3 linked regions of the Alligator mississippiensis genome follow. The protein of the gene in region 3 purifies or fractionates together with the protein of the main gene of each other region. This does not show direct contact. Links are inferred from orthologs where the notes say so. Each region holds a gene or a part of one and is shown on either strand. Other genes may lie near its edges.

Region 1 (7,984 bases), on a different chromosome or scaffold from region 3:
ACATGCACTTTCCAGAGGAGCAGCACTATCAGCACTTTGTTAGAAATATGTTGCAGAATAAAGGCCCAAAAGAAGACTGTAGGGAGAGCTGTTCACATGCATCTCACCTCAGCTGGGTTTTGTGGTAGGTGTCTCAGTGCTGACCCAAAGTTCCCGACATTCAACACAAAAATTCTGTCATCTTCTGGTTTATCCCTGTAAACTACAGGCAGCAGCAATGCCGAGTCACATAACCGAGAAGCAAGAAACCTGCTTTAAAAAAAAAAAACAAAAAACAATCCCCAGAAAACCCCCAGGCAGCAGCAAAATCAAGGTATTAGAGGAAATTCAAGGAGGCAGCAAGGGGGAACTGGCTCAGACTCCCAGGCTCGGCTCTTCACCGGTTCTCTCTTAGTCTTCTGCTGAGTCACGGAGTCAAAAAGAAAAAGTTCTGCTCCTTGCTCTCACCAAGGCAGGCCAGAGCGCGCCGATTCGTTCTGCCTTGACAGTGCCTTGAAAATAAAACAAGCACCTCTTGTTCCTAGCCAGAAAATTTATTAAAATTGTTCATTAATGCTTCGACCGCAGCAAGAAGGCATAGATCCCAAAATATACACACGCTTTCTTATAGAAATAGATTACTCTTTATAATAAAAAAACAAAAAAAAGTAGAAACATCTTTAAACAGATTACTCAATTCATGACTGACAGTTACATGAGATTGCATCATGTCCACAGCATTCCCAGCCATGTTTCAAGGATTGCATCACTCTCTGCTCTCTCTCCCTCTCGCTCCGTTTTAAATAACTCTAGCATTCACCAGCCTGCAGAGATCGTGCATCAGGAAGGGGGGGAAAGGCGGGGGGGGGGGGCAGGAAGGGGGACTTTGGCTGCTGTTGAAACAAAGCAATGGCCCCCAGGAAACACGGTTCCTCCAGCAGGGATGGAGGAGCCCAGGAGCTCCCCCTTTCCCAAGGAAGGCAGAGGCTGGGGTGGGGGGGTTCTCCCGCCAGCAGGTACATACAGACACCAGCAAAGACAGCTCAAGGCTCTCCCCGGGTCTCCCCTGGCCCCAGTCCAGTCTCGGGGGGGGGGGGGGCAAGGAACAAGCAGCCACCCGACCCCTCATACACACACACACATCCCATACAGACATATATACTCCACACACACATCCCTCACACAGACATCCCCCCATATATAAACACACCCCCATACCTACACACACACGCACTCCACACCCCTATACAGTAGACACAGACTCCATACACCCCCCAGACACCCCTCACACACACAGAGATCCATGACATCCCCATGCGCACACACACACATTCAAATAGAAACATGCTATGCCCCATGCACACACACAGTCAGACGGATACAGGACACCCCCATGTGCACACACACACACAGATCCGTGCCATGCCCCATGCACACACAGTCAGACGGATACAGGACACCCCCATGTGCACACACACACACAGATCCGTGCCATGCCCCATGCACACACAGTCAGACGGATACAGGACACCCCCATGTGCACACACACACACAGATCCGTGCCATGCCCCATGCGCACACAGTCAGATGGATACAGGACACCCCCATGTGCACACACACACACAGATCCGTGCCATGCCCCATGCGCACACAGTCAGACGGATACAGGACACCCCCATGTGCACACACACACACACACACACAGATCCATGCCATGCCCCATGCGCACACAGGCAGACGGATACAGGACACCCCCATGTGCACACACACACACACAGATCCATGCCATGCCCCATGCGCACACAGGCAGACGGATACAGGACACCCCCATGTGCACGCGCACACACACACACAAATAGATACAGGCCACCCCATACACATACACACACACACTTGCGCGCCCCCTCCCCGCGGGCGCCCCCGCCCCGCGCCGTGGCCGCGGGGCCCGGGCCGGCTAGCAGTGTCCCGCCGTGGCCAGCAGGGGCTCGGGCAGCTGCTTGAACAAGTTCCTGAGGGTGCTGAGCTCGCGGGAGAGCTGCTCCACCTTCTTCTGCAGCCGCTCGTTCTCGGCCGTCAGTTCCAAGACCTTGTGCTGCGTCTCCAGGTTGCGCTGCTTGGCCTTGTCGCGGCTCTTGCGCACCGCGATGTTGTTGCGCTCCCGCCGCAGCTTGTACTCCTCGCTGTGCTTGTCCACGCTCTTCTTGCCCTTGGCCTTGGCGCCGCCGTAGCCCGCGGCGCCCGCCGGCTTGGCCGCCTCGGCCGGGGTGGGCGTGCCGGGCGGGCTGGACGACGAGGACGTGGAGAGGTTGCCGCTGCTGCCGCTGGGCACGGACTGGTAGCCCAGGTAGGAGCGCGCCGCGCTGCCGTAGGCCGCCGCCATGGCCCCGCCGTCCTCCTTGCGGCCGCCCTTGCACGAGTCCAGCGTCTCGAAGACGGGCGGCTCCGCCTTGGCGGGCTCGAAGCGGCCGGGGCCGTGGCCGTGGCGCGGCAGGCCGAGGTAGGCGTAGTCGCCCTTCTTGGCGCCGCCCTTGTAGTCCTCGGCGAAGAGGTCGGAGAGGAAGTCGGCGCCGCCGCCGCCGCCGCCGCCGGGCTCGAAGCCGCCCCCCGCGGACGGAGCGGGCGCGGGTGCGGGCGCGGGGCCGGGCGGCGGCTCCAGGTAGGGGCTGAAGTCGATGGCCCGCTCGTGCTCGCCCACGCCCGCGCCCAGCTCGCTCATGGGGCGGCCGCGCGGGTGCAGCTTGCTGAGCGCCGCCAGGCAGTCCGCCTCGTAGTACAGGTTGGCCACGTCCATGGGCTTAAAGGCGGGTGGCTGGAGCGGGAGGCATGCCGCGTCCCAGGCCACCAGGCGTTGCATGAACGCGAACGGCGGGCGCAGCTCCGCAGCCTGCTCCGGAGCCTGCTGGGGACGCGCTGCGCTGCGCTGCGCTGCCCGCCGCTCACTGCCCGCGGCTCCTCCTGCCGCCGCCGCCGCCCCGCGCTCGGACCATCCGGCCGCGGCCCGCGCCCCACGGCTCTGACTTGGGAAACTTTCTTCGCGCGGGGATTTATAGGCGCGGCGCTGCCATGGCAACAGCCACGTCATGGCTGGCGGCGAGCCGCGCGCTCCGCTCCGCTCCGCTCCGCTCCCGGCCCCGCAGCGCACCGCGCCGCACCGCGCCGCGCTCAGCGCCCGGGCGCGGCCAGCCCCTGTCCCGGCGGGCAGGTGCGGACCGTCCGGCCGGGCAAAGGGAGGGAGACCCCGTGGCTGCGGGGACGGGACCCCGGGCACGCACACAGGCACATGCATACACCCGTACACGTGTGTATGCCCACACATATAGACACCCATACACACACACATAAACCCGTACACACAGGCACACACACACACCCGTACACACACATACATGTGTGCCCACACACATACACACACACACACACACACACCCTTACACACAGGCATGTGCACACACACACGTACACACACATACACATGTGCATGCACACACATACATGCACACATACAGACATCCTTAGACACATATGTACACCCGTACACACAGGCATGCACACACCCCCATATACACACATACACATACATGCACCCTTACACACATATGTACACCCGTACACACACATGCACATGCATGCACACACACACACACACACACCCCCATACATATGCCCTTACACATACTCATATGTCTACACACACATACCCATACACAGTTTCATAGTTGTTAGGGGCTGGAAGGGACCTTACAGATCATCGGGTCCAGCCGCCCTGTGCTTGGGCAGGAAAGACTGCTGGGGTCATCTGTATTACTGCAAAGGAGAAAACCCACCATATACACACCTGTACACACATACATGCACAGACACACATTGACATGTGTACACATGCACACACAGACATATTCACCCATACACACATACATGCACACACACACACAGGCACATACACACACACACCCCCATGGCCCATGAGACACAGAAGCTGCCCTTGTGCCAGGAGAAGCTGGATCCTTTGAATGTGACAGTGTTTGAAAGCACCGCTTATGTGTGCCCTCCAAGTACTGCCCAACGTTGGGTGAGTATCCTTCTCCCCATTTTAGATTTGGGGGGGGGGGGGGGAACTGAGGCAGGGCCTGGGGAAATCAGGACACAGAGCAAGCGATTGATCCAGGGTCACTCATCAAGTCTGGGGCAGAGCCACACACGGAAACTAGATCTTCTTATTCCCAGACCAGTTCCCAGCTCAGTCTGTCACCCTGACAGGCAAAGCTGCTCCGTGCAGACATGCTCGTGACTGGTTATGACAACGAGCAAAAAGGTTATTGCTGTGGAGTCAGAGCAGGGAAGGCCCCGCCACAAAAGCCACCTCTGAACTGGAAGCATCTAGAGTGTCAGGCAAATCCCAAACTGCCCTCCCCACCTCTGTGCGGGAACTGTGGCCTCAGAGTTTGGCCTGGCGTGTTTACCTTGAAGGGTATGTTGCAACTGTCAGGGTACACAGGAGATACAGAGCTGGGCTTTGGAACAGCAATCTGCAACCAGAATGACTGGGGAAAAGGCAACGTACATACACAAAGCCATGGGATACGCTCTTTCGTTCAGCAGGATCGACCCAGAGGAGCCATAGCGAGTTGGAGAAGTGAGAATGAAACTCGATTCCGATTTTAATTAAAGACACCCTTCTTGGGAATCCAACTTATATTTTCCTTCTTTTACTCCCACATTTACCTGTTTACAAGCTGGTGATTCATGCCCAAAATAAAAGACATCAATTTAAAACAAAACATATAATTAAAGGAAGTAGGAGTGTCCTTTGCCTCAGCAAAGAAGACCCAGCACTGCAGGGAAAATGACACTGCCTCTTAGTCTACTGTGAAGCAATCCTGCGGTGTGGGAAATATTGTAACGTTAAGCCAGAGGAACAGGTATTGCATTATACGATTCAAACAGTCAACTGTTCACGAATGTTCCAACCTCCGGACTTCAAAAAGAGGAAGGATTCGAAAATCGGACTTTCTTTTTTTCCTTTCGTTCTTTTGCTCGTTCTTTCGTTCTTTCTTTCTGTTTCATCTGGTCTTGTAAACTGATTTTCTTCCAGAGTAAAGTACGCTGACAGGTTCGGAGACTTCACATATTTCCTACTGCACATCTCTGTCATTCAGCTAATGTTTGGGAACTGTGCATTTCATAAAAAGGGCGTTGAGTTGTGTGGCTGGGTCTGGATATTGTAGCGAGGGGACATCCATCTACAAATATAAACTCTCCACAGGATGCAGATTCTGGCAAGTTGTGGTGAGCTGTTCACATTTATCCTCCTGATTCCTGACCTGACAGCTATAGCCAATTGCTGCCGTACATGGTACAGTAGCTGAACACATCACAATCCACTTTGTTCATTATCCATTTCTAAAATGTCCCCCTTTGCAGGCACCCCTGGAGCACTTCTGGTCTATCTTGGTATTACATTTGCTAGGTCTCTGATTTACCGTAACCATTTGATAAAACTAGTTGCCAGTAAAAATCAGCTTGGTGAGCCTGTTGGATCTACCTGGGAAGTCTAACGCTCCCCTGCTTGGACACCTGCCTCCCTCTCCACTGCTTGGCAGCAGCTTGCTGTGTTCTAGTCTGGGCCTGCTTGTCCCTCACGAGGTTGATCCATGTGTAGCTCTGTGAGACCTCCATATCAAGCTGTGTGCAAGCCATGCCTTCTCCCTAGCTATCAGTGCTAAGTGGTATTGTTTGTGCTAGAAACATTTTAACCACAATGGTGATGAAGGTCAGAAGCTCACCTGATGCCCTGCTGCATCTTTTTCATCCCCTACACCAAGTTTTGGCACACTGATTTTTCAGTAGCATGGCAGAGACTCTCTCTTGCTGGCAGAGACTAAACACTTTGTCAAAAGCCTTACTGTTCAATGGCCCAGGTTTTGACCTGTGTTATCTGCACTGGTCAGTGCTAATATGGTGACTTCAAGTAGGGTGGGGGATGATCTAAACTATAGATATGGCCAGATGGAGACTTTGATTCATGCTATAGTCCCAGCCTGCTAAGTTTTGTCTGGAGAATGTCACGTCGTAGCTTGGCTAGATGTGCACAATAAGCCTCCTAAAGAGCCTTTGCTCTGGAAACCTGCTCTTTGCACATGTTGAGACACAGACATTCCTCCTACTGAAGAGCTGGGCGCTAGCCCTTGCTCCAAGAAGAAGTGGAGAGAAACAGCACTTCTTACCAGGGCTGCACAAAAAGTTTTCTGTCCAAACATTTTCTGCAAGCAATCAGGTTTCTCACTCCATGGCTTTGGTGGGAGAGGCCTGCTTTCCTGGAAAATGTTTCTGATTTTTCATTGGGAGATCAAGAGCATTCAGTTTGGCGGCCAAAAGTATTTCTTTTTATTCAAAAAAGAAATTAGTTTCTCAGTAAGAAGACAGAAGTTCCCTGGAGAGAAACCCAGTTTTCTGGCCAGCTCTTGCTTCTGACTCAATAAACTACAAATGTTTATGGCTTCACTTGACTATAGATGCAGACGCTGGAGGGTGAAACAAGGATAATCTAAAAGGGAAAAGGTGAAGAGAACAGCATGTCCTGATCTGCTGAACAGAGCTCACTCCTACTTTACCACCAGGCCTTGGATCCTGCTCCCTAAGCTGCTGCAGGACAGGAACACCTGGACTCCCGGTGCATTCTCTTCCCTGGATCAGACCTCTGCTAAAACCTTGCTGAAGTTCCCCTCCTCAGAGGCTCGCTCTGTACCTTTTTGAGTGGTTCAGGATCTCTAGTTCTGCATTTCTAGTTCTCCCAGTCTGACCCATGAGTTCATGTCAGCTTTGGGCAGAGGATGTTTGTATGATGCCAACAGATCAAAGAGCAGAATATTTGCCAGCTGGGATTAAACTAACTATTCTCTTGAGAGGTAAGATGGAGTCTGGCTAAATATCACAAACACTTCTCATTGCAAGCTGTCAATGTTTATTATTTATCCTTTGAATTGCAGTAGTGCTTGAAGGTCTCAGCTAGACCAGGGTCCCATTGCATTAGGCAGTGTTCAAACTGATAGAAACAATCTGTCCCAAAAAGCTGCAGACTAAAAAACAAACATAACTGAATGAACCAAGGAGTGGGGGATGGAAGAGGAACGACGAGGCATACAAATTCATAGATGTCATAGACATTAGGGGCTGGAAGAGACCTTGTGAAATCATCAAGTCCAGCTCCTTGCCATAGGCAGGAAGTCTTCTGGGGTTAAATGATCCCAGCAAGATAAACCTCCAAATGCCTTTCGAAAAAGTCCAGAGTAGGTGCTTGCACCACCTCTGGGGGCAGTCTGTTCCAGACCTTGGACACTGGGACTGTAACAAAGTTTTTTCTTATGTCCAGTCTAAATTGGCCTTCCAGGAGTTTGTGGCCATTAGACCTTGTTATCCCTTGGGGAGCCCTGGTGAACAACTGTTCTCCCAGATCCTGATGGACACCCCTTATATACTTATTAATTCCACCTGCAATAAATTGCCGCCTTCCAGGGCAATTCCAGCAGGCTGTTTTGCAGACAGCATGCCAGAGGAGAGTTAAGGAGAGACTGGAAGGAGAAAAAAGGTCCTGGCTTGCGGGGAGTGTTTGCCAGGCACTATGGATGGTCTTGGAGACAAGACAGAGGTGTCTGGTGAAACAGCTGCCTATAGGAAGCTTTTCTGGAGAGGTGAAATGTTGGCTCATTGCAACAAAGGCAGCAACTTACACAGGCAACTGTTCAGCGTATTTTTGTTGCATTTGGACACTGTGCTCCATGTTCATGCTGCCAAGATCCCTTCTGTAACTTTGGCTCCCTCTGTACCCTCTCATATACATGCACCCACCCAACCACTAGTAGCTCTTAGACACCCACTGTACTTTGATTCAAATCTATCTCTGCACTCAGTAACACTCTGTCCTACAGACACTGCATGCGTGAAACTTTGGACAGTGGTTAATACCTGAAGTTGGATCCCATTCCGGCTCTGTCCACCTTAACCTCTG
Region 2 (7,776 bases), on a different chromosome or scaffold from region 3:
AGCTCACTCAGGTGCAGCCCTTGGGAGGTCACTGAGCTGGGGGGCTGAAAGCACCCCACTGGTGCCAGGCTGGGCAGGGGTGCCCTGCAGACTGGGCCAGAACAGCTTCACATGGGCCAGGAAGGGGGTTGCCATAGCAAATAATCATTTAAGCATTGTAATAACAGGTTAAGCAGGTATTTTTTAATCAGTATTTATATCCCTAATATCACATGTGGATTAAAGTACTTGGTATCCCCATGATGGGGTGAAAGGAATCCATCTCCAGGAGAAAGGTGTTTGATAAGCAAACATCGGGGTTTTCCATTTCCCACATAAAAATGGAAAAAAACCACGGAATTCCTGATTTAATCAGAACACGTGGATTTTCCCTTTCAGCGGGGAAACCCATGGATTTCCCCCTTTTGTGAAGAGTTCTACAGGCTAGCTGAGTTCCAGCCTGCAAGAGCTGTTTGCAAGAGGGCAGGAAACCCCTAACCCTGCCCGGAGGGGGAGGGGGAAAGGGCAGGACCCAACACACTCACTTACCAGAGGCTACATCAGGATCACTCTTCTTCATTCCTGGAGGTGAGTGGGGCTTGGGGGTTGTGGGGCTTGAGAGGGGGGAAGCTGGCTGGGGGCTGAGGGAGCGAGGATGTGTCAGGGAAAGAAATGCAATGCCTGCTGCCTAACGGGCGCTCCTGGTGGGGCTTTCCCCAACACCTTCCACTCCCTCAGCCTGGGCAGGAAGGGAGATTGAGTTGGGGAACAGAGCGTGTCCCAGGGCACAGCGGCAGAGGTGTGAGGGGCACTGCCGCCCCCCCCACCTCAGCTCATTTTGTGCCTGCTCGCAGGAGCAGGGCCAGGGGAGTGAGGGCAGCAGCGTCCTTCTGTGAGCCACAGTCTGGGGGAGCTCACACGGAGCACCCGCCACCGCTGCACCTTGCACCACTTGCCCGCAGCCAGAAAGCCGCACAGGGATGTGCTGGTAGCCACCGTGTGTGAGCCCCACCCGGCCAAGCAGGCATGTGGGGCCCGCAGAAGGGCACTACTGCCCTCACCCTTGCTCTGGGCAAGTGATGTGGGGCACAGCAGCGGCAGTGCAGCAGTGCTGGCGGCCGCCACAGTGTGCAACCAAAAATGCAGTGTGGGGGCAGAGGCCAGGGGCAGTGCAATGCCAGCCACTAGCAGCAGCATGGTGGCAGCCACCCTGTGCCAGCACCATTGCACCGCTGCCACCATACTGGTTGCCCGGAGCAGGGTCAGGGGGACCAGGCCAGCGGTGACCCTCTGTGAGCTGCACATGGCTGCCCTGGAGAGGACGGAGGGCTCGCACGCAGCAGCTGCCACCATATCCCATGTGGCTTTCCAGCTGCGGGCAACAGGTGCAAGGTGTAGCGGTGCAGTGGTAGTCCGTGTGTGGCCCCCCCGAGCCAGGCGGTGCACATATGGGCCACAGAGAGGGACCACTGCACTCCCCCCTCCCCCCCCCCAGCCCTGCTCCTGGGAGTGGGCACAGTGAGCCAAGGTGGGGGGGAGGGGGGCACTACGGTGTGTCGCGTGGGGCTGGCAGTGCCCCTCACCCCTCCGTTGTTGCACCCTGGGGCACGCTCTATTCCCATCTCCCCCCACATGTTCATCTGCCCAGGGCTGAGGGAGAGGAAGGTGCGGGGGAAACCTGCACCAGGAGTGCCCACCAGCCAGCAGGCACTCCATGTCTTCTCCCAACACATCCTCGCTCCCTCAGCCCCCAGCCCCTTCCCCACCAGAGGCGGTAGTGTGGGGGGCTGCTGCATGCGAGCTTCCCCCCCACCCTGACTGGGCGGTGCATGTGTGGCCTACCCTCATCCCGCCCTCCGGGAACATGCAGAGATGCACCTCTCCTCCCTCCATTCTCAATCTGCACCCCCAACCCTTTCCTTTCCCCCCCATCCTCCCCCACACCTAACCTGCTAGGGTGTGTGTGTGTATTTGTCTGTGTGTCTGTGCCTTTGTGGGAGACTGGGGGGCTGTTGTGGGTGGAGTAGTGGGCACGAGCAGGACTGGGGAGGCTGTGTGGGGGAGTGAGGAGCACTAGCAGGGTGGGGGGGGACTTTAATTTTTATCACGGATTTTGGGTTTTTTAAACAGATAATTTGTGACTTTTTACCAGGGAAAACCAGGATCTGTGCTGACAAGGCAACAGTTTCAGGGCTTCTGCTGTCACCTTCATGGATGAGGAAGAATTGAGCACACCCCTCCCACATGCAATACTTTCTGGCTTCTGCTTTTGGGGGGGGGGGGGTTGGTCTTTTCCTTTTCACCACACCTAGAAGCCAACAGCCAGTTTCGCCACTGGTGCACTGGTGTTCCCTTTCAAAAGCACTCAGGTGCTTGGCTGGAAGGACTTGCTTACTTATTCAGACTCTAATCTAACAGCCAGATTTGGGGTCAAAAAGGGATTTCTGCCCCCTCCGGGTCACACTGGCAAGGTTTGTTTTTTCCCCCACTTCCTTCCTCATGCAAGGGGTGATGCGCCCCTTACATAAACATATGCTCATAATCAGTGAAACCTAATTAAGCTGGTGGAGGGGCGGGCACAAGGTGGCTCACCAGCTGGATCCAGCCGGGCAAATGACTGGATCCAGCTCCCAGGCGGGCGCCCACCAGTCGGCCGGATCCAGTCTGTGGCCACCCCGTTGCCCTCCGCACCGTCTCCGACTCGGGAGACTCGGACGCCCCGAGAAGATGCCAGCTCTTGGCCGTGCCCCCGCCACGGGCAGCCATTATCCCCGGACAGCGCGGGGCACGGGGGAAGCCGCCTGCGCGGCGCCAGTGACAGTCCGTGGATGCGGGGCCCACGCCCCACTTAATGCTGGAGCCTCTTCCCCGCATGCATCCCTTCGCCTCGCCGCGCCGCGCCGCGCCGCCCCCGGAGCCGGGCACTCACCAGCCCGCGCGGACTCGTCCGTCTCCCGCCGCCTACAGCAGCCCTCTGCGGCCGGGGGCGGACAGGCAGAGGCCGCAGACCCCCGCGCGCATGCGCCGCTGCAGCCAACCGCCGCGGAACGCGCAGTTTGAAAGTAAACGGCAGGCTCCAACTGCCACTTTCGAACTTCGGCTCGTGGCCACCAACGGTCCCGCCGGCCTCGTCACCGCGCGCGGAAGCGCATTCTCTCCCTCCGACATAAAAGGCGAAACCTTGGCTCGGCTGATGCGAATGCGGACAGGCCGAGTGCAGGCTCCCCTCCCTGAGCGCCGAGGGGCTGCCTTCAGGTGGTCTGCAGGGTCCGCTGGGAGCGGAGCACAACTGAAGCAAGGGCTTCAGGGCTTTTCCCTCAGACTCCTCTCTCAGTTAAGTCACGCAGTTACAGTGCACATGAAAAAGGAGAAAGCACGCATCCTCTCATCTCTTGCAGTAGTCGTACCCCTGCGGTTACAGCAGGAAACTGGCCAGAGTAAGAGGACCGGGTAGTAAAATCTCTCGCCAACTTATTCTTGTGTTTCTATCGCTACTAACACTGGCAGAGATGCACCGTAGATCCTAAATTCAAGGAATCTATTGAATATTCATAAAGTTACGTGCATTTCCAACTGCTAGTGATTTTGCAGTTTTCTAATACTAGTCCTGTACAAACTGATGACTTGCTGGAGTAAAATTAAAATTACAATTTATGAGAAATTTATGACTCCTGATAAATACACTTAAGAGCCTTTAAAGTAACATAGGAAATGGCCCACAGCTCCATACACTGCAGCTATTTGTATTTATCACATAAAATCAGGGCTCCACCTGAAAAGTATCAAGGCAACCATCAGTGATATCATCAAGCAAGTAGGATTAAACCTGTAAATTTAAACAAGGACTTTCACGTACAAGCACGCTATCTAGTATAGTTTTACAATGATGAAGTAACTTACTTATGCCCAGGGAGAGGAAACTGGTGAACTAATTTGCTGATGCCACTACAGTCAGTTACTAAACCCTGATCTGCTGTTCACTGTCAATAAAGAAACCCAAGGCAAAACAAAATGGAACAAATACAGAGCTGGTCTATTTGGATTTCGTTTCCCCAGGTAACTGCCTTACAGGAAAATGCTCTCTATGGATTTTCATTTGCGTTAAGGGTAAAAATTAATCTCAGTAGTGAAGACCAGTACAAAAGTAAAGATGTTTTGCCACCTGCTTTTATCATCTGCAAATGGAAGTAAGATCAGACTTATACCAGTTACTAATCTTTAGGGACTGAAAATCAACTGGAAGTATTCAGCATTTTCACAAATTCCAGACAGTTGAAAATCTTTTTCATTAAATGAGGGAGGGTCAACAAATCATCAGAGAAATTATCAAAAAATGATCAAAGAAATCATTCTTGACAGGCTAACAGAAGGCTACATGTTGCAGGTAGGTCTTGCCTGACCAATCTCATTTCCTTCTATGACCAGGTGACGTATCATCTGGACAAAAGGGAACAGGTTGATATTATACATTTGGACTTTAAAAAAGGGGTGGACTTGGTGCCAGCCTATAAGTATATTGGGGTGTTCATCAGGATCTGGGGGAACATCTGTTCACCAGAGCACCCCAGATGATGACAAGGTCCAATGGTCACAAACTCCTGCAAGACTGTTTCAGGCTGGACATAAGGAAAAGCTTCTTTACTGTCTGAGCTTCCAAGGCCTGGAACAGACTCCCCACAGAGGTGGTGCAAGGACCTACTCTGGGCACTTTTAAGGAACAAAAATGTATCCTTTTGGATGCTTATCTTGCTGGGATCCCTTGACCCTAGCTGACTTCCTACCCTTTGGGCAGGGGGTTGGACTTAATGATCTTACGAAGTCCCTTCCAGCCCTAATGTCTATGAATCTATGAACAAGGATTTGAAGAGAATTCAGTCTAGGACCAGGAAGGCTCTGACTGCAATGTGGGACTTGAAGGCTGTGGAATTGAAATGGAAGATCCAGAACATCTCCGCTCTGGGATACCAGGTGGGAAAAACAGAGTTTGCAAGTATTAGAAAGTGGACGCATTGAGGGATTTCGTGGCTGGCATTGTGATCTACCATCTGTTACACTGATAATCCTAAAAACATTATAGGTCAAATACCCAGTGGTGTGTACATTTTCCACATAGACACGATTATGTTGGTTTATTTATAATTTGTCAAGTCACGGGAATAAAAATTCAAACACATTCTTAGACACTAATATTATGGCAGCCTTAAAAAAGTCAGCAAATCATATTACTTACAGTGCAATGGCAAATTAATATTAAGAGTCTCATCATTCCAAAATACTTAAACATCTGCCTTGGATAATACAAAACTAATATTTTAAAAGGTCTTCTATAAGCATAACATCTTTCTCTCTTGTGTTTCACTCAATTAACCCTGCAGTTTTGCCGATACAAAAATATGAATTTTCCTCAAAGGTAGGTAGCAAAAGATATTTTTCTTCCTGTGAATTTAATGCTTACAGAGGCTCTCATAATAAAATTATTTTTACATAATAGATTAAATATTATTTGTCTCACAGCTCCTACTCTGAGTGGATTTACCTTTGTGGATGAGAGTTGGTGAACCTCCTCCATACCTGCTCAGTTGTTAGTCTGTTCAGATTGCCAATTCAGGCTAATTATGGCAGCAGACCTTGTAATATACAAATGCCCAGCTAACGAACTGAACTAAAATCAAACTCATTCCTACAGAGCACTGATCCTCTATCAGATCATAATGATTTCTGGTCACTGTTGATCTGAAGTGGATTTTAAGTAAATTTGATTACTACTAACCTGATTTGGATTATGACAACTGAAACCAGAGACCTGGATGTGAACAATACTGTAACCCATTCAGTAACAGGAATTTTTTTCATGTAAAAGGCTGCCAAACAACATCTTTTTTTTAAAAGTGATGTTGAATAAAAAACGATTAAGCTGGTAATTCCACAAATAAATGGTAACTGCAAAGCTTTCTTTTTAATTTTATCTACACTAGGTTTTTTTAGCTGCATGTGCTGCTTACAAGAATTTAAACCTGTGTCCTTGTAACCATCAGGCAAGGTCAGGCTGTACCTTGGAGGATGTTTCTACAGGCAGAGCAAAGGTTAAAACCGGCCCCCTCCCCTAGTTTACTAACAAAATGAAGAAGGGACAAAAGCCCGCAGGGTCCTTCAGGCAGACGCATCTCCTTTTAGGGGATTTATTTACCAAGCAAACCTTGCGCCTGGCCCCGGCCCCGGGGAAGTCGCGGATTTGCCTGCAGCCCGTCCCCGTCCCGCCCCGCGCAGCGGCAGCAGGTTGTTCCCCCTTCCCCCTTTTTAGCATTGCCTCCGCCCGGGCCATCGGAGCACGGCCTCGGCGCGGCGGGGGCGGGGCACAGCTGCCCGGAGCCGACTCTCCTCCGCCCTCCCTGCCCCGGGTCCATGGAGGTGGAGGGCCCCGAGGATCCGGGCCGCCTCCTCCGGGGCCTGGCGGGCAGCAGGCGGACGGGCAGCCTGGCAGCGGTCGTGGCCCAAGCCTTGGCCGTCGGGCTGATGTTCCTGGCCGGGGCCTACCCCAGCTGGGTCCTGGTCAGCGGCGACGAGGTGCAGTTCGTGCTGGGAGCAGTGTGGGCCCTTAACCCCATAGCTCCCCCTCCCGACTCGCCTCTCCTGGGCCCGGCCGGGGTGCCCCTCATCCTGTCCATAGCGATCTGCTGCCTCGTCGCCATCCTCAGCGGCTGCAGCGCCCTGCTGCTGGACTTCCTGGGCCTGCAGCAAGCCTGCGCTGCCGCCCCGTTCCTGCACGGCCTGGCCGCGCTGCTCGCCCTGGGCGCGGCGGCGCTGTGCTCCTGCCTCTTCGAGGTGACGCGCAGCAGGCTGCAGACGGAGAAGGAACTGCAGCCCCTTCGCCTCACCTCCACCTTCGGGCCCAGCTTCTTCATGTGCATCCTGGCCTGCGCCCTAGCGGCCGCCGCCACCGGCTTCAGCTGCAGCGCTTCGGCCCGCCTCGTGACTTCGGTACACTCCCAGGCGGGCAGGCGCGGGAGGAGGGGGCCGCCGCTCGTCAGGCCCCGCGAGGACGAGGTGCTCGACTCGCAGGTCGTCTTGCCCCACTGCAGGGAGGGAGAGATCCCGGTGGGCGAGAAGCGCCGCATTCAGACAGTGTGAGGCTGCCCCGTGGCGAGGAGCCGCTCACTCGCACCGCGTGAGGCGAGCTCAGGGGCTGCCCCTCCACCAAGGGTGAGGCTGATGGGCTTCAGGTTCTCCTTTCCCGAGGTAAGGAGCTCATCCAAGTGGCAGGAAACTTCCCTTTCGTAGAAAGAGACGAAACCCCAAAGGCAGCCCATTATGCTGTTTGCTTTCATTGAAGAGGAAACTGAAGTCCTTATGGATGAAAGTCTCCCATTCACGTAGGGGAAAAACAGAAACCCAAGTGTCCCAGAGTCTCCCCTTTACAGAGAAACTGAACCCCAGGCAAAGGAAGATCTGGCCATTAGACAACACAGAACTGAACCTGGGATGGTGATTTTTTTTCCTCACCAGAGAAAAAGAACTTCAACAAAGGGATCTAAAAACTGTTTCTTAAGAAGTGGGGAAAAAAATACCAAGTCTGAGGCAAGCTTCTCCAGTCAAGTTCAGATTCACTTTGTGTAAGATTTCAACTAGCTACTTAGGATTGATCCGTCACGGAGCTCCCACTGGTCCCATTTCCAGACTTGATAGGGCTGCCTACATCTTCCGAATGTTAGAGGAGTGTTGAGAGGCTGTTTTTTGGAATTGCCTTATATATATAAAAAACAAATAAATATTTTTTTCTTTCATAGACATGTTGCAGTT
Region 3 (7,152 bases):
AGTAAAAGATATGCAGCCCATTGGTCACCTCCATCTCTGGCTCAAGTATGCTTCCAGGATCCTTACCAACCCTGAGCTCTCCCTCCCATAACAGCATGCAAAAGCAACAACTTCTACCCTCTCCAGCTGGCTGGGAGACTCCATTCCATAGAAGGAGACAGGAACCTGGCCTCAGTTATTCACACCTTCATCACCTCTTGTCAGAACTGCAGCCATGTGCAAAAGTCCTGCAGGGCTTGGGATACTTCAACAAGTACAGAGGCTGCAGCCCTTCTCTTCTGCAGAAACTGTCATACCCGATCTCTGCACCTGGCATTGGCTTCCCAGAGAATTCCAAACCACATTCAGGGTCTCAATCCTTACCTTCAAGGCTCTTAGAGACCAAGGCCAGGCTAGCCTAGTCAAAAGACCAACTACAGTTCCAGGATGAAGACAGTGGTTGGTGCATTCACTCTGGCACTAAAGGTTAAAAGTACATCCATGCACTCAGAAGATCTCTGGTTGCTAGTGAGAGACTACATGGCAAACTCCCCCAGGACCTTCTACTGTCTGTTTCAAGTGCCCTTTTTTGGTCCTATGCGCTGTAACATGCATACATGTACACATATATACAAGTGCAAAGCTAGAACATCCCACACACTTCTCCCCCTTGGGAGGTGAAAGAATGCATACATGACAGATGTTAGCCACATGTCTTTATGCAATTCTCAGACATAATGGTGCTCAGCTCAGCAGTACCAGAACCAATGTAGAAAGCACTAGCCTGAAGCTTGGAAGGCTACGGTTCAATTCCTTACTTTGTCACGGATCCTTTTTATGACCCTGGGCATATCACTCTTCTATAAAGTGGTGGGCAAGTTGCATTGAAGATTATGTGATACAGATACAGTGACTAAAAGGCCCTGGGAAATACTTAGGTAACCTCTGGCACAGCTGCTCTGTATTACTACCTACTGATGTGAAACGGAGACCTTGAGTTTTACTTATAACACCAGTCAGTTCTCTTTATATAAACTACTACAAAACCACTGTCTGGTCCAGGCAATGAAGCCCATGTTGCACAAGAGACTCTCTCTAACCGGAAGACTTTGGAGCAGTTGCATCAAGCAACAGGAAAATATGCAAGCCAGAGTTCACACCTGTCTCAGAAACACGAATCAGTTCACCAACCTTGGTTTGACCAAACACAGAACCACAAGTTTCTGGTTTTCAGTCTTCATTACAAGTAAACTCAATATCACAGCAATTTTAATCTAAGATCTGGTATTGGACCAATGCCTGTAAGGAACGGTTCTGCAGCTTATGCTCTGTGTTCTTTAGGTGCTCTAATAGAAATCCTTGTCCTCAGTCATTTCTAAATTTGTGGGATAAGGATCATTTCATGGTTAAAACTCTGAGAAGTACACACATCTGCTTGGGAACTAAATCCCAGGATCCAATATAAACTAATAATCCTGATGTTTTGGTTTCTTGAATTTTTCCTACATTTATCCATAGATTCCTGCTCTGAAAAGGCATTTTAGACTCAAGTCTCTTAGTGTTACATTTTAAAAATGCATTCAGCAATAGAAGTATGTTCACTGAATTAAACAAGGCCATTTTATACTCCTGCTTGCATAGAAGAGATGATATTTGCAGGACACACAAGACCTTATAGTTTTAATCTTTACAGACATTTTTGTCAGCAGCAACCAGTCCACCCCAATAACAACTCCTGCCAAGCTCAAACTTATAATAATTTTATTAGGTGTGAGAAGGAAACAAATCTCTTTTGCAAAAGAAATGCCAGGTGGGGGCATTCATTTCTCCTCTTAAAGTTTCTGATCCCACGCCCTTTAGAAGCAATGGCAACGTTCTGCCCAATTCTCGGAGAGGACTGGCACATCTGCAGGCAGTAGAACAATGGGAGGCTTCTCTCCTCCGCAGTGCTTGCGGTACTAATTAATGCCACAGGATTGTCTACTGAGGGAGAGCTAGAAATTGGAAACTGACTAACAACAAAAACGAAACTGATGACTCTTTTCTTGAGCCAGGTTATCTGAACTACAAACATAAACACCGTTGTTAGAAAAAAAAAAAAAAAGAAGCTTTTCAAGATCCATGCTACTGGGAATAGGGTTTTCTAAAAACTCTCTTCAGCCTCAGCTATCCATGCTACTGGACTCCAAACAGTGCAGGGGATTGGCAATTTGGGAGTGCTGGCAGTGAAGTTTTGTAGACATGAAACACCCTGTTTTACTGAAACTGCTGTGCAAACAGACACTGGCTGGGTCATCATAAACAACTCTCAGCAGGGTCATAATCCAACCAGCAATTTCAAAGCCTGGAAAGGCTGCAAGGAGCCTGAGAGCAGCTCAGGAGGAAGAGCACCAAGATAGAGTCCGCAAAGGCCTGGAAGCCAAGATTCACAAGGAAGGCTCTCCACTGACACCCAGCAATGGCAACAGGTGCATCTGCCTGTACCCCATGTGCAACCTTCCTCCTCGGGCCCCTGCCCAGATCCAGGGACAAGAGATGGCACAAGCACTGGCACAGACAGAGCTCCCTAATGGTGGCGGCACCCGATTCCTGCCAACCACAAATGCAGCTGCACCATGCCAGCGTCCCAGATGACCTGATACAAGACGTGACGGATGTGCGAGAGGGGACCAGATCCGGTTGCCACAGGCATCACCACCAGATTTCCTAGCTCCAGGGCATTTAAATCTGCCAACCACAGCCCTCACTTTCTGCAGGGCCCACAGGCCTGGCTCCCCTGGGCCGGGAGCCTGGAAATGCTCCAAGCCACCCTGCATGCCACCCAGCACCCACGCCCAGCGGCTGCCAAAGCCCCCTGGAAGGGGCACCCACTCGTGCCCCAGCACCCCGGGCACTGCCCCCCCGGAGGCCAGGCTCGGCTCGGCTCACCTGCGGGGAAGGGCTCCCGGGCCGGGCCGGGGACGGCGGCTCCGGCTCCCTGCGGCAAGCGGGGATCTGATCCCTCCGCGGATGACGCGAGACCTGCCACTCTAATAGCCCCGCCCCCTCGACCCTAACGTCACAATCGTCCTAGCCAATGGCTTCCCGGGTGAGCTCAGGATTCGCGGGGGACGGGCCTCCCCAGCCAATCAGCGCCTCCAGTCCCTCCTGGTTCTTTCATTAATCAGGAAGGCGCCGGCGCGTGCCCCCTGGCGGCTGTTCCGGGTGGGGGACGCACCTCCCACCGCGCGGCCGAGCCAGTGGAAAGGAGAGGCCAGGGCTCGCGGCGGGCGGAACGGCGACTGCCGGGAACTTCTGTGCTGGAAACTCAGCTGAGTTCCGGGCAGCACTCTGACGTCAGCGCAGCCGGGGCTGTTTCTGCTGCCGCCTCTTAAAGGGCCAGAGCAGCCGAGCCAAGCGGGGGCGGGGGGCACGTAGAGCCCCTCACCCCGCGCCCTGGGATGCTGCGGCTCATCCCGCCGCGCTGGTCCCACCCATCCCGTTGACCTGCACGGGGGTGTGGACCCACACACGCACATGCATATACACACGTGTACACATGCACACGCACACAAATATACACCTGCGCACGCGCGCACACATTTACACATAGGCGGACAAGTTTCTCTGGGTAGATGTGATCTCTTTTATCAGACCAACTGTTCTTTGCAACCTGCCAGGCCCAAGCACCCTTCTTCAGGCATAGAGCGAGTCTGCTCTGCTGGTGTGTGTCTGCTCCCCTGGGTAGAACAGGAGCCAATATGCAAAATGCAGGTCTGTGAAAATATAGGTGGGAATGGGGGACAATAGGTGAGAGACAGGTTGGGGGTGGGGGAGAAAGAACCTAGCTGGTAAAATGCAGACAGGCTACCTGGGTGGGCGGGGGCGGGGGGGATGTAATACACACGTGCCGCAATGGCTCATACGATTCACATGCCCTAACCAACAGAGGCATTTGCCTCGGGTCCATGAACATACTGGGCATCTTGCCCCATTCCAGAACAGCCAAGTTGGAGATTTTGTCATGCCATGTTATGCCCAGGATACAACAGAGACATCAAAGATGGAAACTTGTTTTCTTTTTTCCTTAGCATAAGAAGTCCATGTTTCGCCAATAGAGAGCTAAGTACACATGTATACACACGTGTAGACATACACATATGTCTGTACATACACATATGCATACTCACACATACACACTTGTTGCTGTTCATCCTTTGAATTTGAAAATGACCAAGACATCACTGGTTGGTTTGGTTTCTGTGAACACGTGAATGGCTGATCAGGCCAATTTGTGCTTAGAACGGTCTATGCCAGTGGTTCTCAACTTTTTTGTACCAGGGCCCATTTGTAAACATTGATGGCCAGTCCCAACCCACTGCCCCTCACTCCTGACCCACTACCCCCAGGCCCCAGCCCTTCAGTGTGTAGGGCAAAGGGGAGGTGGGATCCAAACAGCCCCTTGCAGGCTAGAACTCCTCCAGCCTGCAGGGGAAAAGCCACCGTTTCCCCATGTTTTTCTCCTTTAATGGAGAATCCATTTTAAAAAGTTCATTAATCCATTTTTAAGGTTTGTTTGTGACTCTTTCATACATTCTTGTGACCCACAGGTTGAGAAACACTGGTCTATGGCAGACTGAGCAAGAGATGCCCCTTTGGGTTGCTTGCTGCTGTTGTGAGATTTACGCTGTTTGCACTTTTCTGCCTCAGCAGTTCTCCGCTCATAGACAGTAGCTCCAGTATGGACGAGGCTTCACCAGGTGGAACGATCATGAGCAAAATCTTCCCAAGATTTTGGGTCAATGTTGAAATGTTTCAAGGATGACTTGAGGGAGTCCTTGAAGCATTTGTTCTGGAGAGCTCTTTCCCTCCTTCAGCTCACTGTGAAAGATCTTTGGCAGTTGCTCATCTGATATCCTGGCAACACAGCTAGCCCATCTCAACTGTAATTTCATCAACAGAATGTGGATGCTTAGAATGGCTGCCCATGTAAGAACCTCAGTGTCTGGGACCTTGTCTTGCCATCTTATCCTCATCAGTTTCCTCAGACAGCCCATGTGAAAGTAATTCAGCTTCATAGCATGGCATCTGTACATCATCCAAGTTTTGCATGCATACATCAGGATTGGCAACATAATGGCTCTGTAGATCTTCAGTTTTGTTTGTTGACCGATGCCTCTGGACTCCCACACATTTACATGTAGTCGCTGAAGGCCATGGTTGCTTTAGCAATTCTGGCATTTGTTTCATCAGTGATGTGAAGCATATGTGACAGTGTACTTCTGAGATAAGTGAATTTGTCCACTGCCTGGAGGATTTGGCTATTCATTGTGATGGTAGACTCTACACATGGCTTTCCTGGTGCAGGTTGGTGTATCACTTCTCTTCAGCTTGTGAGATTTGGTCTCACAATCAACACTAAGACGACAGAAGTAGTCCATACTTCACTGCATGTCAGACTCAGATTTGGTATTCATGGAACAGTCATTAGCAAACAGAAGATCACAGTCACTTCCTGTAAGTTTGTTTTCACCTGTAGTCTCCTTAGATTGAAGATCTTGCTATCAGTCCAGTATCTGATGTCAATCAGAGCATCACAGTCACGAACGGCATCTGTAAGCACAGCAGAGAAAATCATACTGAAGAGGATTGGGGCTAACACACTGCCCTGCTCAACTCCATTGGCTCAGATGACTCACCGGCATCCACAACAAGAGCAAGCATGCCATCATGGCACTGCCAAACCATTGCAATGAATTTCTCCGGGCATCTAAATTTTGCCATGATCTTCCAAAGGCCTTCCCAATTGACTGTATCAAATGCTTTTGTCAGGTCAATGAAAGTCATGTACAGGTTTCAGGAAAGGACACAGAACCATAGACATAGTGTTTGCATCTTCTCATATACACATGCACACACATGTATACATGCACACATACACGTAGCCGTACATGCATGCATAGACACACACATATAGACATGCACATACTTAAATGCATGCATATACATATGTATGAACATATATAGATGCATACACACGTACGCACACATATGCACACATACCTACACATATGTATACACACCTGTTCACATGCACATACATACATATACAAACAGGTCACACAAACACATGCACAACGGCATATACACACATACACATAGATGCATATACACATACATACATACTTACATACACATATATATTGTATATACATACATAGACGTGTCCACACATGCATATACATACACACACATGCATATTGGGGCAGACCTAGGATTTTGAAGAAGAGGGTGCGGTGAGGTCCATCACCTCATATAAAAACAATACATTTTTCTCTAGTTAAAAAGAAACTAGGGGCACCTATACATGTGCAGGCTGCTCCTATGTATTGTAATTACAGTGCATCAGAGCAGACTCGATTAATTGAGTCTGCTGGAGCATGGCAATTACTATGCTCCAGCAGACTCCAGCATCTTGTGTATTAGCATCCGCATGCTGAAAAACGGTGGGGGGGGCATTGTAACTAAAGCTTGTTCGACACGCTTTGAAGTGCCCCTGCCAACATTTTTCAGCATCGGGATGCTGATATACGAGATGTTCAGGGCATGTTAATTAGAGTGGCTCTTGGAGCAGCTCTAATTAAAACACCTCCCCCCACTCCCAGAGCACATGTATAAACACCCAAGAAGCTTTACTACTATGCTAGGGGCCTAGGCTGTACTATTCAGTTGAAGTTTGAAGCAAAAAAAATATATAACTTCATTGGAATGGAGTTAAAAACAAGCAGTCTGCAGGTTTTGTGAAATAGGGGTTTCCTGACCAGGAACAGCTAACAGACAGCACAATTGCAAGACACAGGCTACCTTGGTTGGTGGAACATCAAGACCACTAAAAAGAAAAGAGGGTCATTAATACCTGTGGGGTGTAGAGGTTAGAGGGGATCAGGTACATGATGATAAGATATGCAGTCAAGTAACTCCCTCAGCACTACCTGACTAGAAATGCTGCTGCCATTGCCAGGCACTTGGTTTTAAGCTTTGGGTGGACCAGAAATCAAAGCAGGTACAAGTGCACCCTTCTGGATCTGCCCCTGTATGTATACATACACACATATCTATGCTGGTTAGTCTATAAAGTATAAACATACCCCACCCTCTACTTAACTTCAGACTAATAGGTCTAACTATGTCTCT

Evidence for each region. Proteins that work in one complex are often made in the same cells at the same time.
Region 1: the proteins of STAT3 (region 3) and CEBPB purify together in Homo sapiens (affinity purification with western blotting; 3 studies listed by BioGRID, with this or other methods). This does not show direct contact. The link is inferred for Alligator mississippiensis from reciprocal best matches to the Homo sapiens genes STAT3 and CEBPB.
Region 2: the proteins of STAT3 (region 3) and TRIM59 purify together in Homo sapiens (affinity purification with western blotting; 4 studies listed by BioGRID). This does not show direct contact. The link is inferred for Alligator mississippiensis from reciprocal best matches to the Homo sapiens genes STAT3 and TRIM59.

What each region holds. Positions count from the first base shown.
Region 1 is NC_081832.1:13,203,875-13,211,858, forward strand, and holds CEBPB (CCAAT/enhancer-binding protein beta), read right to left. Parts: upstream 2,983-7,984; 5' UTR 2,834-2,982; coding exon 1,934-2,833; 3' UTR 515-1,933; downstream 1-514. UniProt on the Homo sapiens protein: Important transcription factor regulating the expression of genes involved in immune and inflammatory responses. Also plays a significant role in adipogenesis, as well as in the gluconeogenic pathway, liver regeneration, and hematopoiesis.
Region 2 is NC_081830.1:68,585,020-68,592,795, forward strand, and holds the start of TRIM59 (tripartite motif-containing protein 59), read right to left. Parts: upstream 3,015-7,776; 5' UTR 2,909-3,014; intron 1-2,908. UniProt on the Homo sapiens protein: E3 ubiquitin ligase involved in different processes such as development and immune response. Serves as a negative regulator for innate immune signaling pathways by suppressing RLR-induced activation of IRF3/7 and NF-kappa-B via interaction with adapter ECSIT.
Region 3 is NC_081827.1:162,182,052-162,189,203, reverse strand, and holds the start of STAT3 (signal transducer and activator of transcription 3), read right to left. Parts: upstream 3,016-7,152; 5' UTR 2,908-3,015; intron 1-2,907. UniProt on the Homo sapiens protein: Signal transducer and transcription activator that mediates cellular responses to interleukins, KITLG/SCF, LEP and other growth factors. Once activated, recruits coactivators, such as NCOA1 or MED1, to the promoter region of the target gene.